6 linked regions of the Danio rerio genome follow. The protein of the gene in region 6 interacts with the protein of the main gene of each other region in a pairwise test. Links are inferred from orthologs where the notes say so. Each region holds a gene or a part of one and is shown on either strand. Other genes may lie near its edges. The genes, in order: insyn1, csrnp2, ylpm1, lmtk2, csrnp1b and ppp1cc.

What was found.
Region 1: the proteins of ppp1cc (region 6) and insyn1 interact in a two-hybrid assay, tested with the Homo sapiens proteins (2 studies listed by BioGRID and IntAct). The link is inferred for Danio rerio from reciprocal best matches to the Homo sapiens genes PPP1CC and INSYN1.
Region 2: the proteins of ppp1cc (region 6) and csrnp2 interact in binary tests that used the Homo sapiens proteins (3 or more experiments, as listed by UniProt). The link is inferred for Danio rerio from reciprocal best matches to the Homo sapiens genes PPP1CC and CSRNP2.
Region 3: the proteins of ppp1cc (region 6) and ylpm1 interact in a two-hybrid assay, tested with the Homo sapiens proteins (2 studies listed by BioGRID and IntAct). The link is inferred for Danio rerio from reciprocal best matches to the Homo sapiens genes PPP1CC and YLPM1.
Region 4: the proteins of ppp1cc (region 6) and lmtk2 interact in binary tests that used the Homo sapiens proteins (3 or more experiments, as listed by UniProt). The link is inferred for Danio rerio from reciprocal best matches to the Homo sapiens genes PPP1CC and LMTK2.
Region 5: the proteins of ppp1cc (region 6) and csrnp1b interact in binary tests that used the Homo sapiens proteins (3 or more experiments, as listed by UniProt). The link is inferred for Danio rerio from reciprocal best matches to the Homo sapiens genes PPP1CC and CSRNP1.

The regions. Positions count from the first base shown.
Region 1 is NC_133193.1:53,476,374-53,479,164, reverse strand, and holds part of insyn1 (inhibitory synaptic factor 1), read right to left. Parts: intron 1,117-2,791; coding exon 773-1,116; intron 1-772. UniProt on the Homo sapiens protein: Component of the protein machinery at the inhibitory synapses, probably acting as a scaffold. Inhibitory synapses dampen neuronal activity through postsynaptic hyperpolarization.
Region 2 is NC_133198.1:36,596,347-36,599,846, forward strand, and holds part of csrnp2 (cysteine/serine-rich nuclear protein 2), read right to left. Parts: intron 3,084-3,500; exon of another isoform or gene 3,081-3,083; 5' UTR 3,071-3,080; coding exon 2,914-3,070; intron 1-2,913. UniProt on the Homo sapiens protein: Binds to the consensus sequence 5'-AGAGTG-3' and has transcriptional activator activity. May play a role in apoptosis.
Region 3 is NC_133195.1:9,354,067-9,357,566, forward strand, and holds part of ylpm1 (YLP motif-containing protein 1), read right to left. Parts: coding exon 2,777-3,500; intron 2,701-2,776; coding exon 649-2,700; intron 546-648; coding exon 419-545; intron 333-418; coding exon 197-332; intron 118-196; coding exon 28-117; intron 1-27. UniProt on the Homo sapiens protein: Plays a role in the reduction of telomerase activity during differentiation of embryonic stem cells by binding to the core promoter of TERT and controlling its down-regulation.
Region 4 is NC_133178.1:66,126,353-66,130,465, reverse strand, and holds the start of lmtk2 (serine/threonine-protein kinase LMTK2), read right to left. Parts: upstream 2,801-4,113; 5' UTR 2,395-2,800; coding exon 2,310-2,394; intron 1-2,309. UniProt on the Homo sapiens protein: Phosphorylates PPP1C, phosphorylase b and CFTR.
Region 5 is NC_133199.1:23,587,862-23,592,124, forward strand, and holds the start of csrnp1b (cysteine/serine-rich nuclear protein 1b), read right to left. Parts: upstream 2,801-4,263; 5' UTR 2,632-2,800; intron 1,963-2,631; exon of another isoform or gene 1,883-1,962; intron 1,654-1,882; exon of another isoform or gene 1,587-1,653; intron 1-1,586. UniProt on the Homo sapiens protein: Binds to the consensus sequence 5'-AGAGTG-3' and has transcriptional activator activity. May have a tumor-suppressor function. May play a role in apoptosis.
Region 6 is NC_133180.1:2,464,351-2,468,587, reverse strand, and holds the start of ppp1cc (serine/threonine-protein phosphatase PP1-gamma catalytic subunit A), read right to left. Parts: upstream 2,801-4,237; 5' UTR 2,619-2,800; coding exon 2,564-2,618; intron 1-2,563. UniProt on the Homo sapiens protein: Protein phosphatase that associates with over 200 regulatory proteins to form highly specific holoenzymes which dephosphorylate hundreds of biological targets.

The sequences.
Region 1 (2,791 bases), on a different chromosome or scaffold from region 6:
TTTTAGCAAACTAAGACCAAAACTGTTGGTCAAAACATGATTATTCTAGCAAACTAAGACCAAAACATGGTTATTTTAGTTAACTTAGTTCTTATTTACTAAAATAATCTTGTTTTGACCAGTATATTTAATGTAAGACTAAAACTGTTGGTCAAAACATGGTTAATTTAGTAAATGAAGACAAAGTATTGGTCAAAACAAAGTTATTTTTGTAAACAAATACATTAAAACTGTTAGTCAAAACAAGGTTATTATAGAAAATGAAAACTATTGTTCAGAAAAGGCTATTATTGAGAACCAAAACTATTTTGTCAGCGCCAACAGTCTAGTGGTTTGTGCATTGATATATACTGAGGTCACTGAGGTGCTCACAGAGACCCGAGTTCAATTCCCAGCTCAAAGTCCTTTACTGATCATTCCCCTTTCTCTCTGCTCCACATGCTTTCCTGTCCCAGACTATTGGTCAAAATGAGCTTATTTGAGTAAAGAGAACTAAAATATTTTGGAAAAACATACAATCATTTTCAGTGGCTGAAATTTTGGTGTACCCTAGTTACAATTCAGGTAACACTTGGAGAGAGTGGATTTTTACATGACACACACCATGAAAACCATTGAGATTTTATGCATGCTCATGAAAACGTCATTAAGAGAGGATAATATTTGTATTTTCATCTCTGTTTATATTTAATATATGTTAATAATTAGACCCAATGATGGGCTGAAAGAAACAAAACTAAACTTGGATTTGTTTTGGGTGAAGTTTCCCCACCTCTGGCTGTGTGTGGAGCTGGAGGCCTCCTCACTGGACGAGTCGGGTGTGATGATCAGGGGTCCGTTGGGGACGGGCAGCCCGCCGTTCATCTGCGAGTACACGCTGGCGGTGGTGGGCGGAGGTTTGGTGTCGTCCCGCGCTGATCTCCGGCTCGATGACTCCAGAAAGCTGCAGAAGTCCCAGCTGTCAGAGAGCGAGTCCTGGCCCAGAAAGTCCAATCTGAAGGCCTCGCACAGGCCGCGCTCGCTGCTGGACGTGCTGCTCGCTGTCGCCACCGTCCAATCGTCCGCATCCAGATCCAGCTCCAGGTCTGATGTGAGTTTGTCGATCTGACCCACCACCTGGAGGACGCAGAAGGAGAGAATGATGGTGAATAATGGGCTTCACATATTCGTCACATTGATGGTGAGTCGACCTGTTCAAAAAAACTGAGACGATTCAAGGATCTTCATTTATTTTATTAATGAATAAGGCAAGCTTATATGAAGTTTTAAACATGTCCAACAAGTTTCAGGTGAAAACCAAGTAATCTGAGGGAGTTTTAAAAAGTTTCAGACCCTGAAACAGGCCAAAAGCAGCAAAAAACAAAGTGATGAACACTGCTTAAAACAAAGATCATCAGTCTTTCTGTTTTAATATCTAGGCAAGTCATTAAACAACAGGGATTTGTTCTGTAGACAATCAATCAATCAATCAATAAATAAACCAATATGTGTTAAGTCTGACCTGAGTTTATCGATCTGACCCACCACCTGGAGGACACCGAGCCACTTAATGATCATAAATAACAAAAATAATGAGTTTGTGTACGCTCAATTGATGCTCAGGCACCGCGGTCGACCTGTTCAAAAATCTGCAATACCTTAAGGATCTTCATTGATTTGATCAAAATAAACAATCTGAAACTGGGCTGACTTGAAGGTATTCCCAAAGACACATTATATTATATAAACGCTAAGCTACTAAATATACAAACTTTCTCTCAAGCATTGTGAAGTGTGCCTTTATTGTCAGATAAAGGCACAGCTAAAGTAGTTCCGGCAGGTTTAGAGTGCATTACAGCTCTATATCACTCCACTAATTTATATCACTGCTAAAACAGTCAAACATCACATCAAAACACAACAGAAGGCTTCGGAGGAGACGTGGAAGAAACTAGTGCTGCACACAGGAGCAGTTTGAGGAGGACACACACCTGTCTGTAATACAACATCTCAACAGTTTACAAGCTGTACTGGAGACCAGAGGACAAGCACAGAAATTACCTCAGGTGTGCGTTATTTGTATAATAATTCAATGGCCTATCCTCAAGTATTACTTGTGTGTGTGTGTGTGTATATATATATATATATATATATATATATATATATATATATATATATATATATATATATATATATATATATATATATATATATATGAAAAATGGATGAACAGTACATTCTACTGTAATCTCAATACATAAAACAATATACAATCACTCGCCAGATCCCTTTGTTTAATGGCTCATTAATGCAAACATCTAATCACAGCATACCTACAATATACAATATATTCTGATAAATGGAAGCTAAAATGTAAAGTGACAAACAAAAATAATAACAAGACAAAAAGAGTTGCTTTGTAACTACTCAAGAGATTTCAGCTGCTGACTGGGCTTTCCATGCCTTTCTACGCCTCCCTTTCTTCATGTGTTCTTCAACTTTTTTTTTTTTGGTCATTTTATTACACAAAACTAAAGCAATTAATTTTGTTTTCTGAAAAATGTATTTAAAATGTGTTGCTAGGTCTCTCCAAAGCCCAATATTAACACACTGAAATGCTGTGTGTTATCATCTATTCTAAACATCATATATTTACATCTTAGATGCCATCTTTAATCTTACATTTATATTTATTTGAATGATCTAATTTTTCCATATATTAAACTATTACATTATTATTATTATTAATAAATACAGGCTAAAATATATTGAAACCTAAATGTTCAGTGTGGTGCCAAATCTCTATCTTGTC
Region 2 (3,500 bases), on a different chromosome or scaffold from region 6:
TCACAGTTGTCTTGAAGGGTAATATTAGCTATATGAACCAAAATCGTTCTTTGATCGAGGCTGTAAACACCTTTTTTTCTGCTGTAAAGTTGGCCAATTTTAACAGTGGGCTCAATAGAAATTTGCTTTATTATGGAGCCAGGACTAGCGGAATTGCGATGAATTACAGTTTCAGTTACTTCTGTATTTGCTTCAGGAGGGATATTTTCAAGCAGAAGATTGCTGCTTAAATATGACTTGAAAGCTGTCATTTGAAAAGTATGAAATTCATTGTGTTAAGACAGATTTTGAAATTGGAGAATGCACTACCAAGGGAAAGTACTTCAAAACCTTTTAGCAAGCTCCTCCACCTAGTGGGTGGTGTCAAATTTTATATTGCAAAATGTACTATTCCATCATATTATTATTTTTGGCTTAGTCCCTTTATTAATCCATGGTCGCCACAGCGGAATAAACCGCCAACTTATCCAGCATGTTTTTACGCAGCGGATGCCCTTCCAGCCGCAACCCATCTCTGGGAAACATCTACACACACTCATTCACACTCATACACTACGGACAATTTAGCCTACCCAATTCACCTGTACCGCATGTCTTTGGACTGTGGGGGAAACCGGAGCACCCAGAGGAAACCCACATAAACGCAGAGGGAACATACAAACTCCACACAGAAACGCCAACTGACCCAGCTCGAGCCGAGGCTCGAACCAGTGACCTTCTTGCTGCGAGGCGACAGCACTACCTACTGCGCCACTGCGCCGCCAAAATGTACTATTATATATTATAATTAAATATTTTTATAAACTTGTCGATTCACATTTCATGAGAGCTATTGTTTCATATTTGCTGCCAGTTTTGTGATAGAATTTATATTGTGAAAGGTGTGTATGGATCAGTGAAAGAAGTATGGATAAACAAATTAGGTAACACTTTAGTTTAAGTACCAATTCCCACTATTAACTACTGGCTTATTACCTGCCTATCATTAAAATACTGGCAGTTTGTTAGTACATATAAATCATGATCTTAGTCTATATCCCTAATCCTACCCAGTAAACTCAACTACTACATTACTAACTATTAATAAGCAGCAAATCAGGAGTCCATTGAGCCAAACTGTTGGTTTTTTAACAGCGGCAATTGCACATTTTTTGAGTGTAAACATGATTTATACACAAAATAAAACAATATTTATAGAATTTCATATTCATAAATTATTTTTTCTTTCCAGTAAATTTAAGCATTTATAACTTTAAAACCCTGTCTTCATTTATTTTAATGCTGAAGTCTCTTCTTTATACAGAGACCAACTTTACACTAAAATAAAACAATAATTAGATTTGCAAAAGTTTTATATGGGCAAATTATGTTGAACATTACCAAATAAAATTAGCTTGTTTAAATTCAGCCCATAAATTGTTTGCAACCAGTTATCTTAAAAAATGCAGTAAATACAATAAATCAGTGTAGGTATGCATTCCAAAACAAGGAGTGTCATGTTCAACATGAGGACTCACAGTTAAAGGGTTAACAAGTTTTCATCTCAATGTAAATTAGTCCAAGAAGGACCTCAATCAACATCCTTTTTATGTCCTGGACCTACATTTCTATAATAGGAAAATCAAACCTCTATGACCTGTATCAATAATCTAAACTGTTTGGGGAACAATCCATTGATGATATTGTACTCTCAGCCAAAAAAAAAAATAACCTAAACCTTAAACATAGTCTAAACTATGTTGTATAGTAGTTTTATCATCCTAAAAAAACTATTTAAAAATCTCGATTAGGCTATGGTGGTTCTTACAAACGAGCAGAAATGTGACAGCCTTATGCATGAACTGACTAAAGTACAGGGGTTAACATTAACAGCCTTACAGCAGTTTAAATAGCAACTTTAAAGGGCACCTATGATGAAAATCCTCTTTTGTAAGCTGTTTGGACAGAACTATGTGTAGGTACAGGAGTATGGTTTCCCCGCCAACCAAATTGATTGACACTTGCCATGTCTCTACAATAACATGTATACACATGTCCACGGAACATTCTTTGCAAAGAAACTAGGATTAAAACATTTGCTACAAGTCTCTGTGATCAGCTGCACCTCAATAATCAATTTTATGAGTTTAAAGCGTTTTTAAAACAGAGCATGTTGGTAATAAAGACAGAAAAATCGCTATGTAATTTTTAACCGCTATAATCACCACGGCCACATGGTGTCACTGTGTATGTATAGGTGCAAACGGCATTTGTGTGTGACTCATCATTTCAAAAAGGCTAGAATAGACTCCACCCTCAGGCCGTACTTTTTTACTTTTACTTGAGAACCAAAGTGTAGTCAGTACTTCAATTTCTACCAGAGTCGTTTTAAACATGAGCATCTGTACTTCTACTTAAGTAAAAGATGTGTGTACTTTTGCCATCTCTGACAACCAAGCACATGTGGTCAGAACATAAACAAGTCGCAGGTAATGAGGTATTAAACGTTTCTCCCAAAGAAAAGCCTGTCTAAGCAAAATGCTAGCAGGCGTCTGTAGCTCAGCTCACGCTTCGCCTCTCCGTGCTTGTTTGGTATCCCCCGGTCGGTGCGATGCCACGCAAACAAAATGGCGATGGTTGGCCTCGCCTACTTGTAGCTTCATTTATGTTCATCAGAAACCTATGGGTGACGTCACGGATACTACATCCATATCTTTTACAGACTGGAGATGCAAATCTTAAAACAATCAAGACAAAAATAAATAAATAAAATCACCATTTAAAACACACCGGCTCACTCATATACAGACAAGTGTTTGTATTCTCTCTAATATTTTTATAACAGGACAATTGTTGCGGCCCGTTCATAACTTACTGCCAGGATGCCTCCATAACACTGAACTCATATAAGATTAAGTTGTTAGTTAGTCTTACGTGTGAGGGAGCTGGAGGGAGCGTTGAGACTGTCGCAGCTGTCAGCGCTGTCACTGCTGGAGATGTCATCATCTGAGTCTTTGGGTGTGGAGCACGGCGAGCCGCTGTCCACCTCCTCGAATCTGCGCTTCAGGCCGCGAGATGACACTGTCTCCATGGAAACACTGCTTCTGAAGGCAATACAGACAGGTACATGCTTTATTCTGACTGACTGACTGACAGAATATCACCACAGAAATCCAACATGAACAGTTATGACAAAAGAGGATGAGCTTTGTATCATTCATTCATTGTCCTTCAGCTAAGTTTGTTATTTACCAGGGGTCGCAACAGCGGAATGAACCACCAACTATTCTGGCATATGTTTTACGCAGCGGCTGCCCTTCCAGCCCCAACCCAGTACTTGGAGGCTTCATATCATATGTAAACTATATAGCAGAATTCTCATACTGTATAAAATTAACATATAGTTAGTGGCACAGTGACTCAGTGGTTAGCACTTGCTGGTTCGAGTCCCGGCTGGGCAAGTTGCCATTTCTGTGTGGAATTGGCATGTTCTCTCTGTGTTGGCATGGGTTTCCTCTGGG
Region 3 (3,500 bases), on a different chromosome or scaffold from region 6:
CTTTCATATTAAGAAAGCAGGACCAACCTTTCTCATAAGATCGCTCAGATGGAGCTGGAGCAGGTCTTAGCAAGACCCTCTCCCCATAAGAAATTCTTTCCACTGTTGAACCCCCATCTAAAGAACGATAAAACAAGTGTAAAAAACTGTCGTTTGACTAGATGCATTTATAAACAAATTCAGAACATACACTGACCACGACCATGCGCATAGTCCACAGTTTTAGCAATGAATGAGGCTGTAGGGGCAGTTGAAGAAAGAAAATCTGTAGATTGATTTGAGGACAAACCAGCATTGAATGTCTGTCCAGTTTCAGACAATAAGTTGGTAGCCTGCAAAACAAAATCCTCATGCGATCAATTGCTTTCCATAACTAAACTACTGCAATACTAAACATTATTATGCACAGTTAGCATACCTGCAGGGCACTTTTAACCTCTGGTGGAATTTCCAATCCAAGGATGCCAGCAGGAAGCTCTGAAGGCAACCCAGCTGACTCTGTGGTGGAAACCTCTCCTAAAGCCTTTTTGGTCTCCTGAAGCTCTCTACGAACAAACAGGTTTAATCAAGTTGTGAATTCAACCGTTTGGAGTGTATGAATTGCATGTTATTTGAATAATTGTACGCTCTTGATAAATTCCATTTTACCTGATCATTTTTAGCTCCTGGGCAGCTTTAAGAATGATCTCATGCTGCCTTTGAGAAAGAGCAAGTACAGCCTTAGTTGCGCTAGGTGAAGACTCATCAAGTGGGGAATCTGTGGCTTGAGGTGCGGGAAGGCTAGCTAGTGGATCCAGTTTATGTTCATAATCCGTTTCACTAAGTGAACGGGAGTATCCTCTTTCTGGTGGGGGTGGAGGTGGGGGCCTTTCCCAATCAGAACGTGAATGAAATGGAGGCTCCCGATCTCGGTCTTGATAAGGTGGATCATCAGGGTAAAAAGGTCCCCTTCGTTCTTCTCTATATCGGTCTTCCTCATATGGGAATGATCTTTCTCTTTCCTCTAACCATGGATCCTCTCTAACACGTTCTGGAGGACGATGTGGAGGATAGTCTCGTTCAGGTTGCTCCCCGTCCCATTCCTCACGAGAGCCATAATACTCATCTCCATGCTCATAATCTTCATTGTATTCATGAGGTGGCCTTCTGTACACATCATCCTCTGCACCATATGGGTATTCCTCCTCATAATTCTCTTCTTCATGAGGTGGTGGGCCATGCCACCTTTCTCTTGGCATTGCAGGCCTCATGGGTGGTCTTCTAATGCCTCTTCCCATTTCATGGGGTGGCAAAGGTGGTCGTCTAATCCCTCTACCACGAGGATGAGGCCATGCAGGCTCTCTGTCAATTTCTTCTTCATATCCATGAGGACCAGCTGGTTCCCTAGCTATAATTTCATGAGGTGCTGGTGGTCGTCTTAAATCTCGCTCCATCATGTCATGGCGGGGTAATGGTCCCCAAGGGCCTAAACCACGTCTGAATCGTGGTACAACTCCCCCACGTGGTCGAAACGGAGGAGGTCCAAGTGGGTTATGTTGCAAACTTCCAGGAGGAGGAGGGCGCCTTGGACCTTGAAGCATAAATCGTGGATGGAAAGGAGGTCTTCTGGGGCCACCTGGAGGAAAAGGAGGTCTAGCACGCATGGCAGGTCGTTGCTCTGCCCAATATGGATCTTCTTCCTCCCAATAATCCTGTGGTTCTTCTTCCCAGTTTTCATCTTGGTGAGTGTCCTCTGGGTACTCCTCTGGAAAGTGTTCCTCCTCTGGTTGCCAAATCTCTAAAGGTGCTTCCTGATCAATTTCTTCAGGACCATCTAAAGAAGGATCTCTCCAAATACGATCCTGATCCTCGCCATGACTTGCGTTGCCTGGTTCCTGATGGTCATAGGAATCCTCCTCAATTTCTCTTTGGAAGTTGGGATCAGCCATTGGTCCGCCATACTGCCCTCGACCACGTGCACGACCCCTGCCTCGGAGAGGCATTGGTATTTGGCCTCGTCCTCTTCCCCGTGCCATCTGTGGTGGAACTTGCTGATTCATCATGGGTAGCATCCTAGGAGTCTCCTTGGGTGTATCAGGTTTAAATTTGTTTTGAGGAGGCTTTACTTGTTGTGGTGGCCCATTAGCAGTATGACTGGTCTTAGGAGGTTGCAAGTTAGAGTTTTTGTTTGTGGTGTCTGGGGCATCCGTAGGTGCAGATGGTTTTGTAGTAACTTCTTTTGTTTTATCTTGCTTTGCACTGTCTGCATCAGTTTTATCAGAATCCTTAGTTTGAGGAATGGGTCCACTCTGAATAAAAAATCCATCCACTGAGTCCACAAGGTCGTCTGTCATGGATGGAGCAGAGGAATTGTTTTCTTTTTGAGTACTTTGACTTAAAGGACTTTTAGCTTTGTCTGGGTCTGTATAAGATGGAGGAACTGGCTTTGCCTCAGGTTTTGCTGATTGTTGCTTTGTTTGATTGCCAGTTACAGGACTGGATTGTTGACCAGAACCAGTTTGTTGAGAAGCTACAGGAGGTCTTTCAAAGCGTGTAGGGGTATTCTGTCTAGGGGGGTTCTCCAGCCTTGCTGGAGCCCCTGGAAAGGGAGGATTACCTCTAGGAGGTTGGCTAAATCGCTGACCAGCATCAAATCTGGGTGGTCCACTAAATCGTTGCTGGGGTGGCTGTTCAAATTGTGGGCCTCTAGGACCTTCAAATCTGAAAAAGAAAACAAAAATTAGTTCTCTAGCTCGAGACAAATGTGTTATTCCAAGTAATTTTTCTTCTGAATTACCTTGGGCCGTCAAATCTTCCATGGGGTCCAGGCGGTCCACTTCCTGGTCCAGATGGTCTAACTCCTGGCCCCGGTGGTCTACCTCCTGGTCCATATGGTCTAACACCTTGTGGGCCAGGTGGTCCAACCCCCGGTCCAGGTGGTCTAACCCCCGGTCTTGGTTGTCCAACCCCTGGTCCAGCCCCAGGACCAGGCGGTCCAACGCCAGGACCAGGCGGTCTAACGCCAGGACCAGGTGGTCTAACGCCAGGACCAGGCGGTCTAACCCCAGGACCAGGCGGTCTAACCCCAGGACCAGGCGGTCTAACCCCAGGACCAGGCGGTCTAACTCCATGACCAGGTGGTAAACCAGTTTTACATGTTTCAGAAATAGATTCCAGATCAGAAGGTGAATGACCCTGGGGAACAACTGGTCCAGACTGTGATGGGCCTTGTGTTGATGGTGCTGGCATGGCATCCATGGTGACTGGCGGTGGCATAGATGGAGTTCCTGGGCCTACTAAATTCATGTTTCCATTTGGTCCCATTTGGACATTTGGACTTTGCTGCCCATATGATCCCATCATTCCATATGAAGAACCATACTGATGCTGCATGGCTCTTAAAGTCGTGACCCTCTCTTGCAGATGAGCTGAAGTTGAATTCATTTGCTCCTGCCATTGCCTCCACTGGGCTTCATAATCATGTAGCTGATCTTTATGTGGGTACATCTGAAACTGTTCTA
Region 4 (4,113 bases), on a different chromosome or scaffold from region 6:
TCTCCGTACACGCTCTTCCTTCTACGTCATTCAACCGGAGAAGTACCACATTGTCGCAAGTTTAATGACGTACAAAACGGAGTGCTTGTTTACATGATAGTCGCATCGTCACATATCCTATAATCTGATTTATTTCCACATATGAAGGAGATCTGAAACCATCTCTGAATATCCGTATGAATGCATTATTACGTGTTTATGCGGTCATAGAAGGGATCCGATCTGTGTCACATGAACAAAAAAATTGGCTCACATTTAACTGGCAGTGTAAACGGGGCCAAAAGTTACGTTACTTAAAAAGATTAAGTAACAATATTTTAGTTTAAAAAATATCATGCAGGCTATTTTTAATTGCATTAGCTTCTAAAAAAATGTAATTGCTGAATTAAAATTGATGTTGAACCGCACCCTCAATGGGCTCTATGCACAGCAAGAGTTTTAAAGCTAGTGATAAACTTCCGGTGAAAGCTAATGTGACTATTTTTAATTATAATTTTCAATACCCAATATATGTGGTTATTTTCTATTTATATCTCCTTTGAAATATGTTATAAATCACAAAAACAGGGACTTTCCTCTGTCTCCCATTTAGTTTTTTACTTCCTGCCTTCCATCTGAATTTCGAGCATCACCAGAAACAACAACCTGTAGCTCAGAGAGTTCTCAAAAGAAAACATTATCCAACATTATTATGTTTTTTTGTGAGTTTTTAAAGATGAATAAGGGTTATACAGTGTGTTGTTAATCGCAGAGCTCCTCTAAAAAAACAAAAACTGAAGAAAAAAAATCCTTGCATGTTCTGAAAGAGTTTAGGACTCAGCCAGTAAGGGAAAAGTAACACAAAACTCAACACATTACTTACCATAAAAAGTAACACAACTAGACAATATTGTAATACATTACTTACTAAAGTAACTTTACCCACCACAGGTGCTTGATTAGTCTTCATTTGAGGACATTTTCGCACTTTCACTTGATTTGTTTACTGAAAGGTCAGCTGTCAAATCCCCTTTTTACCCCATAACAGCAATACAATATCAAGCCCAAGGGATTGAGGTAAAGTTGGTTTTACATTAACACATTCATTCAGTGACAACTTCTCTATATTGTTTACCATTGTACATTGAATATTTGGTTTGAAATTGCATGTAAGTATGACTTGAAAACAACATAAGCACTATTTATTTGATTGTAAACAATGTTATACTCTGATAGTCATTAGATGCTAATTATTTCACTATTTTAAGTTTGCAAAGACTACTTTTCTGAAATTATATTAATAAGGAGAAAGTCCAAATGTTTGATTATAAAACCAACTTTACCTCAATCAACATATGTGGTGATTTTCCATTTATATCTCCTTTGAAACATGGTATAAATCACAAAAACCTGGCCTTTCCTCGGTCTCCCATTCAACTTTTTCCTTCCTGCCCTCCATCTGAATTTTGAGCATCACCAGAAACAACAAACTACAGCTCAGGGAGCTCTCAGAAGACAACATTATTCTACATTATTGTGTTTTTTAAAGATGAATGAAGGTTATACAGTGTGTTGTTAATCACAGAGCTCCTCTTTTAAAACGAAAAATGAAGAAAAAACTTCTTGCAAGTTCTGAAAGAGTTTAAGACTCAGCCAGTATGGGAAAAGTAACACAAAAATCAACACATTACTTACCACATAAAAAGTAGCGCAACTAGTTATTTTTTGCGAAGTAACTCGATATTGTAATACATTACTTTCTAAAGTATCTTTCCACAACACAGGTGCTTGATTAGTCTTTATTTGAGGACATTTTCGCACTTTCACTTGGTTTGTTTACTGACAGGTCAGCTGTCAAATCACCTGTTTACCCCATAACAACAAAACAATGCCAAGCACTAATGATTGAGGTAAAGTTGGTTTTAAAAATCACACGTTTGAACTTTCTCCTTCATAATATAATTTAAGAAAAGTTTTCTTTATAAACTCTAAATAGTGAAATTATATTAGCATCCAATGACTATCAAAGTACAACATTGTTCACAATCAATTTAATAGTGCTTATGTTGTTTTAAAGTCATACTTGCATACAATTTGAAACCGAATATTTATTGTACCGTGATAAACAACAAAGGAAATTGTCACTAAATGAGTGTACGAATATAAAACCAACTTTACCTTAACACCCCAAGGTAGCCCCATGCTATTTTTGAGAGCAGCACCATGTAAACATGACATTAGCAAACCCCAACACAATGCTGGCATCACACACAGCTTCTCAATGACAACATGAGTGACAAATAAGCATCATAATGTGACTGACATCTTACCTGAGAGTGTATTAGAGACCGGAGCAGCGTGTGTGAGAGTGACAAATCCCAGAAAACACACACCTCCACCGAGAAGAGCCTCCATCCTCAGCACTGCGGCTAATCCACTACCTCAACTACCTAAAAAACAGCTAGCACATCTAAACAAATAACGCAAAGAGCTGTCTACGTACATCTATATCGTTACATCTATATATGTCAAAGACTCATGTTGTGTGATATTAGTCGTGCGTCGCGTTGTGAGCGTTAGCTAACACGACAGAGCTGTGGTGCTCATGAAGCTAAGCTAATGCTAACCGCTACCGGCGTCTTATATGTGATTATTTAGCATCGTTCAAAGCCGCCGTTTGGTTTATTACCTCTCTAGGACGGTTAAACGCGAGGATACGTCTTTTTCAGACATTGTAAAAGTCTTGCGTTCGCGGAAAAATCAAAAGCGCAGTAAACATAGAGGTCCATCATCATCACCTTTCCGCACGAGCGCCATGTTTAGTGACGTCACACGAGGGCGGCGGTGACGTCAGAATCTGACAGATCACTCACATAGAAAAAAGGTTGCCTACCATACAAACTCCCTATAAAACTCTCTAAATTTCATGAACAGGCTCTTTTTGGCATGGAAACTATGTTTCGTTCACAATTTCTCCCCACACAAAGTGAAGCTGTGGAACAACGAAAGCATCTTAGTAAAGAATAAATCGATTTTTTAATAAGAATTAGCATGAAAAAGATATTATCTTTGTGATTTTACTTGATCCACAAGGGAGGATTCTAAAACAGGAAAGTTGCTGTAATTTTTCATTAATTATATAGTACATAAAATAACAGTCAAGCTGTAAATTTACAGATATTATTTGTAATTTTTACGGACTTTTGAACATAATTTAAAATAACAGAAAAAACACTATAAATGATACTGTAATTTTCCTGTACAAAAACAAAAATGTCAGTAATTTGTCTTAAATGATGAAGTACCTAAAATGAATGTTAATTTAGAGAGATTGGCTGCGTCCGAATCTGCCTACTACTCAGTAGGTACTGCATTTGAATTTAAACGTACTACTCGGTTGTTAGAAAAGTACGTTCTGTACAGTATGAATGTGAAAAGTATGAATGGAATTCGGACGTACTACATCCGCCATTTTGTCATGGTCACGTGACCTACGTGCGTCAGTTGCGTCGCTTTACTTCCATTCATGATTTCGCTCGCGGGGCATCATGGGATAGCGCAGCATGCATGGGATGCGCACTCCGGAATCTCGCCGGAAGTAGTAAGTCATCCGGGTACTGATTTTCGAATTCTATGAATTCGGAACAAGTGTGCCGCAAGCCTACGTTTGAGTGAAGGTTTCGGCCGTTAGATCGCCCCCTGGGGGCTGGCTGCAGTACAAGTCATAAAGCCCGCCTCCTCCGTGTTAATGAAGGAGACTTGAGCCCAAATAAAAAAAAATATTACACTTGCAATAAAATGTCCCGAAAGATGGTTCTGGTGGATTAAGGCACTGGTTATTGTGCTGAAATAGGTGCAGATCTTCATTTTTGTAAACAGTTTGTTTTTAGCAGTAATTTAATGCTGGGCGTGTCATCGTGATTGACAGCTGTGATTGACAGTTTCTCAAAGCGCGGCGTCTGAGCTTCGGCAGGAGACTGAAGTAGACTGAAATGTTATTATTCGATTTCTGTGTTATTTTACCATGACAAAATGAGTTCAGCAGTAAACTATAGTTTCTGACATACATGATCTGGTGGAACACTGTTTATTCGCTAAGTTCAGGGCTTTTTTCGGGCTTTATTAGTTTGCTGA
Region 5 (4,263 bases), on a different chromosome or scaffold from region 6:
GCGAATCATTAGAGATGATGACGTTATTGTCATATTGACGAGATGATGTTATTAGGGTGGAGATGAAGATTTCTCTCACATGCTACACTATGGATTCAATACATCATCAAACTTCGCATTTCCATAGACATGTTTTCAATTTGAATTAAAAAGTTATTTAAGCAAAAAGGGTACCAATTCTAACTTAGACAATATTTCACACTGGAATTCAGAGAGGTGGAAATGTAACATTTTATAAAATAACAAAATGAATCAGATCTGTTTGACCATATACTGTTGTTTACTTTTTAGGATGGGGGTCCCTCACATGACGATGAACCGATTATTAATTATTATGAAGATCACCATCTAAAGGTCATCTAAATTATGCTAAGAGCCATAAGAAAAACATCTCAAAACACCCTCCTAAAGTTATTTAACAGTTTCGAGAGAATCACTGCTCCTGGTTTATGTCAACGAATAGAAACTCTGACTGCTCAGGAAATTGCCAAAACTGAAAGAAAATACTTCCACATGCAGCAATTTGCATCAATATCCGAAATGCAAACTTCCAACACAGTCCGCAAAGTGTAGGTTCCTTGAGAAGTCATCTGTATGAGTTTGTTCTGACTAACTTAATGGTGACAAAAACAAATACTAGCCATCTTTACCAGTCTCTCGGGACTCACAAGGGAGAGTATATGTGTGCGTCTATAGGATGGGGGGAGCCCAGGGGTCATCAGCTTACGTCTGGGGCACTTGCTGGTACCTCACAAGCTGGGAGGAATGTTGGAGAGTGACAAAACAGATGGGTTCCCTCTGCTTCTCGGTTTTAGAGACATCAGGACTTCAACACCCCCCCCAATACTATTGCACAAAAGCCACACACATATCTATCCAAATAAAAACACCCTGCCTGTGGGTGGGAGATTAATAAAAATGACATGTTGTGATGTACACCAATTATGACGGCATCATCTCAATTTTTTCAAAGCATGACTGGATTTAAATAGGAAGAGGGAGGAAACTATCCAGACATGCTACTTTAACCAGCTGAGTGATTTCACTGACTCTGGAACACGTGCAAGTTCACACCTCATCAACCCAGAAGTAAGTAAACAATACAATCTTTTATGGTCCTGTTTGATTAGTTTAACGTGCACTTGAATTCAAAACAACATCGCAGGTTATGGGAATAAAAAGTCTCACTTGTAAACAGTTTACCACAGGGTAGTGCAAAAGCATTTTAAATGAAATAAAACGCTAATGGACTTACTAAGCTCGTTTTAAGAATATAAATCCCCTAAATGTGTGAGGTATGTCAACAAAAACACCAGAAAAAATCCGACTTGTGTTCCCACAAACAATCCGAGTGAGGTCGCGCGTGACAGCGACTGCGCGCTCGTTCACACAGAAGCACGCGCAAAATAAACACACTCAAACTTACGACACAGCCACAAATATACAAGCATCATCATCATAACACACCCTTCTGCGCTCGTGCCTTCAAAAAATACTGAAATTATTGAACTAAAATTTACATAACAAGCTCAATGAATCCCACCATCAAACATTCAATGTGCTCACAGTCAGGAATTGAAAATTACCTGACAAAAGGAATGCCGTGAGATTGTAACAAACCGAGTGGAATGAGAATATTAATTTACTTCAGTTATCCCAATCACGCAGAGCACAACGTGTTGGTGATTGTTGCCTCGTGATTGACTGTCAATCAAACCAATTATCAAATGACCTGGGGAGACTGTTTTGCTTGCTTTTAAATAAATAAATAAAAAACACTTTTCTTTGTGAATGAATTATAGGCAATTGGTTATGTGCGCCTTTAAATGTAGCCAAATAAAATAGCACTGTAAAAGCCATTTATAGGCTATTGATCAAATACCGGTTCGACCAGCTGAAGTTTGGATCGGATCAAGTAAGGTCTCCCCCAGACCTGCATTCAGCCTTGTATGCACCCTCGGTGACGTCATCGAGGACTGGAAGTGCATATGAGGCTGAGCGCAGATCTGCATGCAGACTACTGAACTGATGCGGTGTGGCACCTTAAGGAGTCGCTCGCGCTTCAGAAGATAGGCTACACCAGCGCTATAAACGTGAACGAGGAATGCACTCAACACTCACACACATTCAAACTAGCAATTACGGCTTATCGGATACACACACATACGGTCCACTATCCTGGAATTCTGCCAATGGATCCGATCAGAACCGCCAACAGCTGCTTATGAGAATAAGGCTATCTTTTATTAAAACCCAGCAAACACTGCCAATCAAAATTACTGACAGAAAAAAGCATAAAACCCGCGAATATTTAGACCGATCTACACACTTAAAACGGTTTACATTAAAGCACCAGAAATTAAATTAATTAAGCTTACCAGAGTTTATTATAACACAATTAAAACGCAAGACAATGGCTTAATAACTTTAGTTAGTTTTTTTTTCTGCCACGACAGTATACAACAATGTCCTCTGGATTTGCTACTTGAAATAGTTACACAACACATTTTATCTCTTTACACTGGCCGACAAAAGAACATTGAAACTATCTGGCTGGACTCCAGATCCGAGGTTTGCCTATTAGACACATTACAAGTGCGGCGTTAAACAGCGCGGAGCTCCGCTACTCACCAATAACGTGTCCGATCAGCATTAGTAAATCACTATCTAGGAAAAGATGAAGCTGTAATAATCCAAGAGATGCGATCGCGCGTTTATCCGTAAAGAGATCCCGTTGTGTTCGTGCGGCTATTGTGCGCTCGGCGGACTGGAGCGGCAGCTGAAGCTGTTCCTCTTGTCTGAAGCAGACGCGGAGCAGCGCAGTCTTTTCGTCAGTGGAAAACTCCCTCCTGGCGTGTGACGCAGGCGGTGACACTGAGCCCACGCGCCGCTTCCTGCCTTCCGCGCGGGGCGACACTCCTCCTGGCGCACACAGAGAACGAGAGAGAGACCGGAACAACAGCGCGAGTTATGGGAAACTGTAAATCTTTCATTGCCTTCAAAACATTTACTATGGTAACCACAGTGGCTGGCAAAATATTGGAGTATACACACTGAAATCATGATCAATTGTGCTTTCTTAAAACATTTTAAGATAACCAGAATCTATTTTGCTTTAAAGTAGCTTTCTATATATATATATATATATATATATATATATATATATATATATATATATATATATATATATATATATATATATATATATATATATATACACATATATATATTTTTTTTTTCTGCGACGTTTATGTTAAAATGTATATAATCAATATAAAAGTGTCAATCACATAATCAAAAAAAAAAATATATATATATATATATATATATATATATATATATATATATATATATGTATGTGTATATATTTTTTTTTTCTGCGACGTTTATGTTAAAATGTATATAATCAATATAAAAGTGTCAATCACATAATCAAAATTAATATTATTACTAAATAATGATAATAAATAATTATAATAAATAATTATATATGGACAAATAACTCAAAATATTACAAAATGTTATATGTGAACTATATTTAAAAAGTATTTTAAAATTATATAGGACTGTAAAATGTAATGATGTTATATATGTAAAGTAATGTGTTGTACATTAATACAGTAATTTGTATTAATGGTATTTATAGTTGTTTACATTTTTGTTTTACACTCTTTACATGTTTTACATAAATTTTACATTTTATATACATTTATTGTGATGTCAATTATAACAAAAACTGTTTAAATGAATAAATCTATGCAGTTTGATAGATGTTTATACAATCAGATTTCCTGAGTCAACCTCACTGAAGTAGTGAGTCATAAACCCTGCATCATTTATCAGTAAATCCCGCAATCCTTCTGCATCATTCAGCAGCAAAACTTGTAAAACCATTGCCTAATTTATTGGTCATACAGTTGCAGCGGCATTCTGAGCCGACATGAAAACAACTCTCAGACATACTGAATAAGCCATTAGATTACATTACATTTGCATTCCTTCTCTAGGTTGGACTGGGGTTGATGGCAAGTTCACGATGCATCCCAGTGATTTCAGGTATGACTGAACATGCCGTGTCCTCCTATATCTACAGCATCTCTCGTCCTGTCAGCTGTGTCATCATTAACTGTGCACGCCTCTGTAATGCAGAATTACACTAATGCAGTGTTTATCAGAATCGTGCACATCGTAGACACGTTCGGGTGGAGTAAACTTTCGATTTCTATTGAAAAAGGGAGTGCTGCCAGTGTCAACACAGGTGTA
Region 6 (4,237 bases):
TTCTACAAACATTAAAAGCAGGACAGTCTAATAAAATATTTAACAGAGGAATCTTAGAAAATATGCAAGGAGTAGGGTGTTCCTAATATACTGGTAATATATTTATTTTAAAATAAATAATTTTAAATTTAGAGCCATATTTGCCCATTTGTGATATCACTGACATTTTAAAAAATAAATTTGCTTAATTGTTTTTTATTCATTATTGCGATGTGAATTAATACAGAGATTTGATTATGAAAGTTTGTAATTTAGGCTTTGGTTGCAACCTTATGTTTGTAAATGTTGTGGCGCTTTGAGCTTAGAAAGGTGCATCATAATTAAACATTATGCATTATTATTACCCAAATATAATTTATAGCATCTCTCCATGACAATGTCAAAATTTTAGCGCAGCCATTATTTCACACTGCATAAAAATAAACCTAAGCAATAAAAAATCTTTAAATAAGCAGTTTTATGTATTTTGTGATTCATGTTTTTACTTTCCCCCATTTATTTACGCTTTTGAATTGGATTATTACTTTCCTCCAACAACTTTTAACCTTGTAAAGTTAAAAAAAGTGACTTATTTACTTTTTTAATAGCTTAAAGTGATATACTGTCTGGTTGGTGTTGTATATTACGCTACAAAAACATTGTAACAAACATTTTCTATTCTTTAACAGACTTATTTCTTTAGATATTATTTTTATACATGATATTATTATTTCAAATGACTAAAATGTGAATAAGTCACTTTGTGCACTTTTGATGTTAAAAATACAACAGAGGAGAGATCAACATAGCATAATGCAATTTGCCACCGCAAATAAACCCAAAACACACAAAATAGAGAAACTGTTCACTAATATATTTTTTACAGTGTAAGAGGACAAAGTAAAAGCACATGCATATCAGTATGTGTATGATGCTGAAATCACTACTGCAGAAAGTACAAGTAAAAATGGGTCAAAGCTGCTGCAGTGCTAAATCTGAAGTCAGACCCGCTTATGAAGGATACATACCTTAATAATACATTTAATGTTAGTCTAAATAATAATATCTGCCAATATGAACTGTGTTGCATATAAAAATTAAACAAGCGAGAAATGTTATGTAAATGCATTTCTTCACTGTATACAATAAAACTATAAAATCTTGCATAATCATTCTGCCTTTATTGCACCTGCTGCTTTTATAATGCATTCCAGAAAGCAATTATATTTTGCAAAGATACAATTCATTGTATAATAAAATATAAATCTATTTGTATAGTGCTTTTCACAATAATTCATTTCAAAGCAGCTTTACAAAAGGTGCACATTTCATTACAGTCAATTCAAAAAAAAGCTAAAATGTTGTAAACATAGTTGGGCTCATACACATTTTTACTACTAAAATTTCATGATTTTGCCAAGACTTTCATGTAAATGTTCATGACCTAATGTTTCATGCAATGTCTACATATGCGTGGTAAAAGAAAAGCAATGCATGTTCAAATTTATTAGAGCATAGCATAAAACATGCAACAATCCATTTACTTTCAATTTATATCCATGCAAAATTAATTTAGATAATGCTTACACCGCACTAATAATATGAGAGTATGTGATTGGCCAAGGACAGAAAATAAGAGAAAAGCCTATATTCAAGTATTTGTCATGACTTTTCTAAAACTGTGTAGGTTTTTCTGTTTTTCCAAAACTTTTCCAGGCCTGGAAAATGCCATGTAAAAATTCCATGACTTTTCCAGGTTTTCCATGACTGTATGAACACTGTATAACCTGCAGTTGTACAGGATGTGATGTCCTTCCCCCCCTAAAAAATATATTTACATGTAATAATAATACATGTTTAAAGTCATAATATAAGCAAATACAGTGTTCATATTCAATCAGAATTAAGAGTTTATCATGTTTTAAAGTTCTCATTTTCAACAGTTTCATATTGTTAGTCATTAAATAAGGTTTTAAGATGTCTAATTAAAGCAAGGATTTTTAATAAACATTTTATAGAGATGACACCCTCAAATTGTATAAATTTGGGTTGAACTCAAAAATATTGTTTTTCCTAGCGCTAGAAATCACACTTTTGACATTTCAAGCCCTGTTGTTAATTTTAATGACTGTGGTACACTAATAAACAGCTGTTTTGATGCTCAAATATGTATTCAATATCATAATATCAGCATTAGTCAGTGTACTAACGTAATGTGTTTACTGAAGCACCGAAACCGCGCGTACAGCTTGGCAGTGTCACAAACACCAGTGAACTGCCCACACAGAGTGTATTTTATAGTCAAAAGTACTGTCCATTCGAAACCAACCAATAATATATAATCTTCAAATATATCAGTATAGTGTCTATGTAGAAAACTCTGTATTTGACACACAGCCGTTTGTGTCAGTGAGCAGAGCTAATGCGCAGCTAACTCTCGCTAGCTCAGCTAACGTAACATCCATAAAAACGACAGAGTTGATAGATCAAGCATATACATATACACACACAACCCTTATGGCAATTATATAGTTACTTATGTTATTAAAAGTACATTTTAGCTGTCACTTGGCTTGAAACTCACCCTCGAGCAGGCGCTGAATGATGCTGTCTATGTTGAGTTTGTCGATGTCAGCCATGACTAGCCGATAAAAACACAAACACCACCGCTTAAAACACACCAGACACGACAGATAAAACGACTTCGATTAAAAACAAACTGGTTAATCACAAAACTCTAAAAGAAAAGATTAAAATGCTCGAGCGGGCCCGTTAGACGCGCGTGCTGCGGCGGTGGCGCACCGGCTCTGCGGAAGGACACGCAATTCGGCTCGGTTTCACCGCTGATGGAAACGGGAGGGCGGATGAACACAAAGGAAAGGAAGAAAAGTAGTGCGGAGGAAAGAGGAGGGCGTGCCGCTGACTTTCACAATAACGTGTGACGTTGAATGTTAATTGCAATGAAAAACTTTTAAAAACACATGTTTAAAACATATCCTACACATTAACATAATTATTTATTTTAACCAACAACGTCTTTTGGCATGCTGTTATTACAGTAGACCTAATACAAATATTATTTCATTTGAAAAAATTGCATTATGCATTTAATTTATGCTGATTCGGGTATACACATGTACTAGTATTACATTATTTGACAGTTCTGTTTATGTTAATTAACCAGATGCCTTGTCAACTGTTATTTATTATAATAACCTAATAAAAAATTATTAATTTTGGCATAAAATCTAGTTTTACAGTATTTGACATGACCTTTTATATTAACTAACCACATTTTTTTGTCAATTGTCATTCATTATAGTAAAAAAAATATTATTTAATTTGTAGTATTTTTGCATTAGAAATTAATTAATGCTGATTTTGGCATTAAAAAAAAACTAGTTTTATAGTATTTGACATTACTTTTCATGTTAACTAACCTCATCCTTTGTCAACTGTCAATACCATTACATATTTTGTCATTTGTGGTAAGGTATTTACTCAGTATGCATTTAATTCATGCTAATTTAGGTATTAAAAATACTACAGCATTGCAATGCAGGCCCGTAGCCAGCCTATTAAAAGGGTTCTCAAAAAGTGGAACTTTTTGCAGCTATTCGGCTCATTTTTATCAAATACATTGACATTTTAAGCACAAATTTTTGGATTAGCTTGTCGGATGGTTATCATTACAATACTTTTTGACGCAACAAATATTTTCCTATATTTTTGTCAAAGTGCTTACCATACTATTAACAAAAAATTGTGTTTATTTACAACTGTGCATTTAAAATTTACACTATTACTTTTTACAAATAATGTAATGAGATTAGAATTTAAATTAAACATTTTGAACTAAGAAATTCGAAAAAATACTTATTTTTTCAAATGCTAATTTATTATTATCCATCATAAAATAAGGAATCTGTTCAAAGTTGTTTTAAATTAAAAAACTTAAGCCTATATTTAGAGAAATTATCAACCTACGTCACAGGGGTTCCTGGTGTCAATAGTAATAGTTGTGCGGTAGGGTGCCAAATCCAACTTTTCAAATGCAGCTTAACATTTACCGTACACCACACTGCTTTAATGCCAACTGCAGACATATTTAGCTATAAGGGAGCTGAATGGAGTGAGGACCTAATTAGAAATGCTGGACTCTGCAGTTCTCATGTTATATCAGGTGAGTTCACGCTATGCTGAATCAGACACGTTACTGGTTTTTGATTGCAGCAAAAACAGTTCAATATGGTTAATT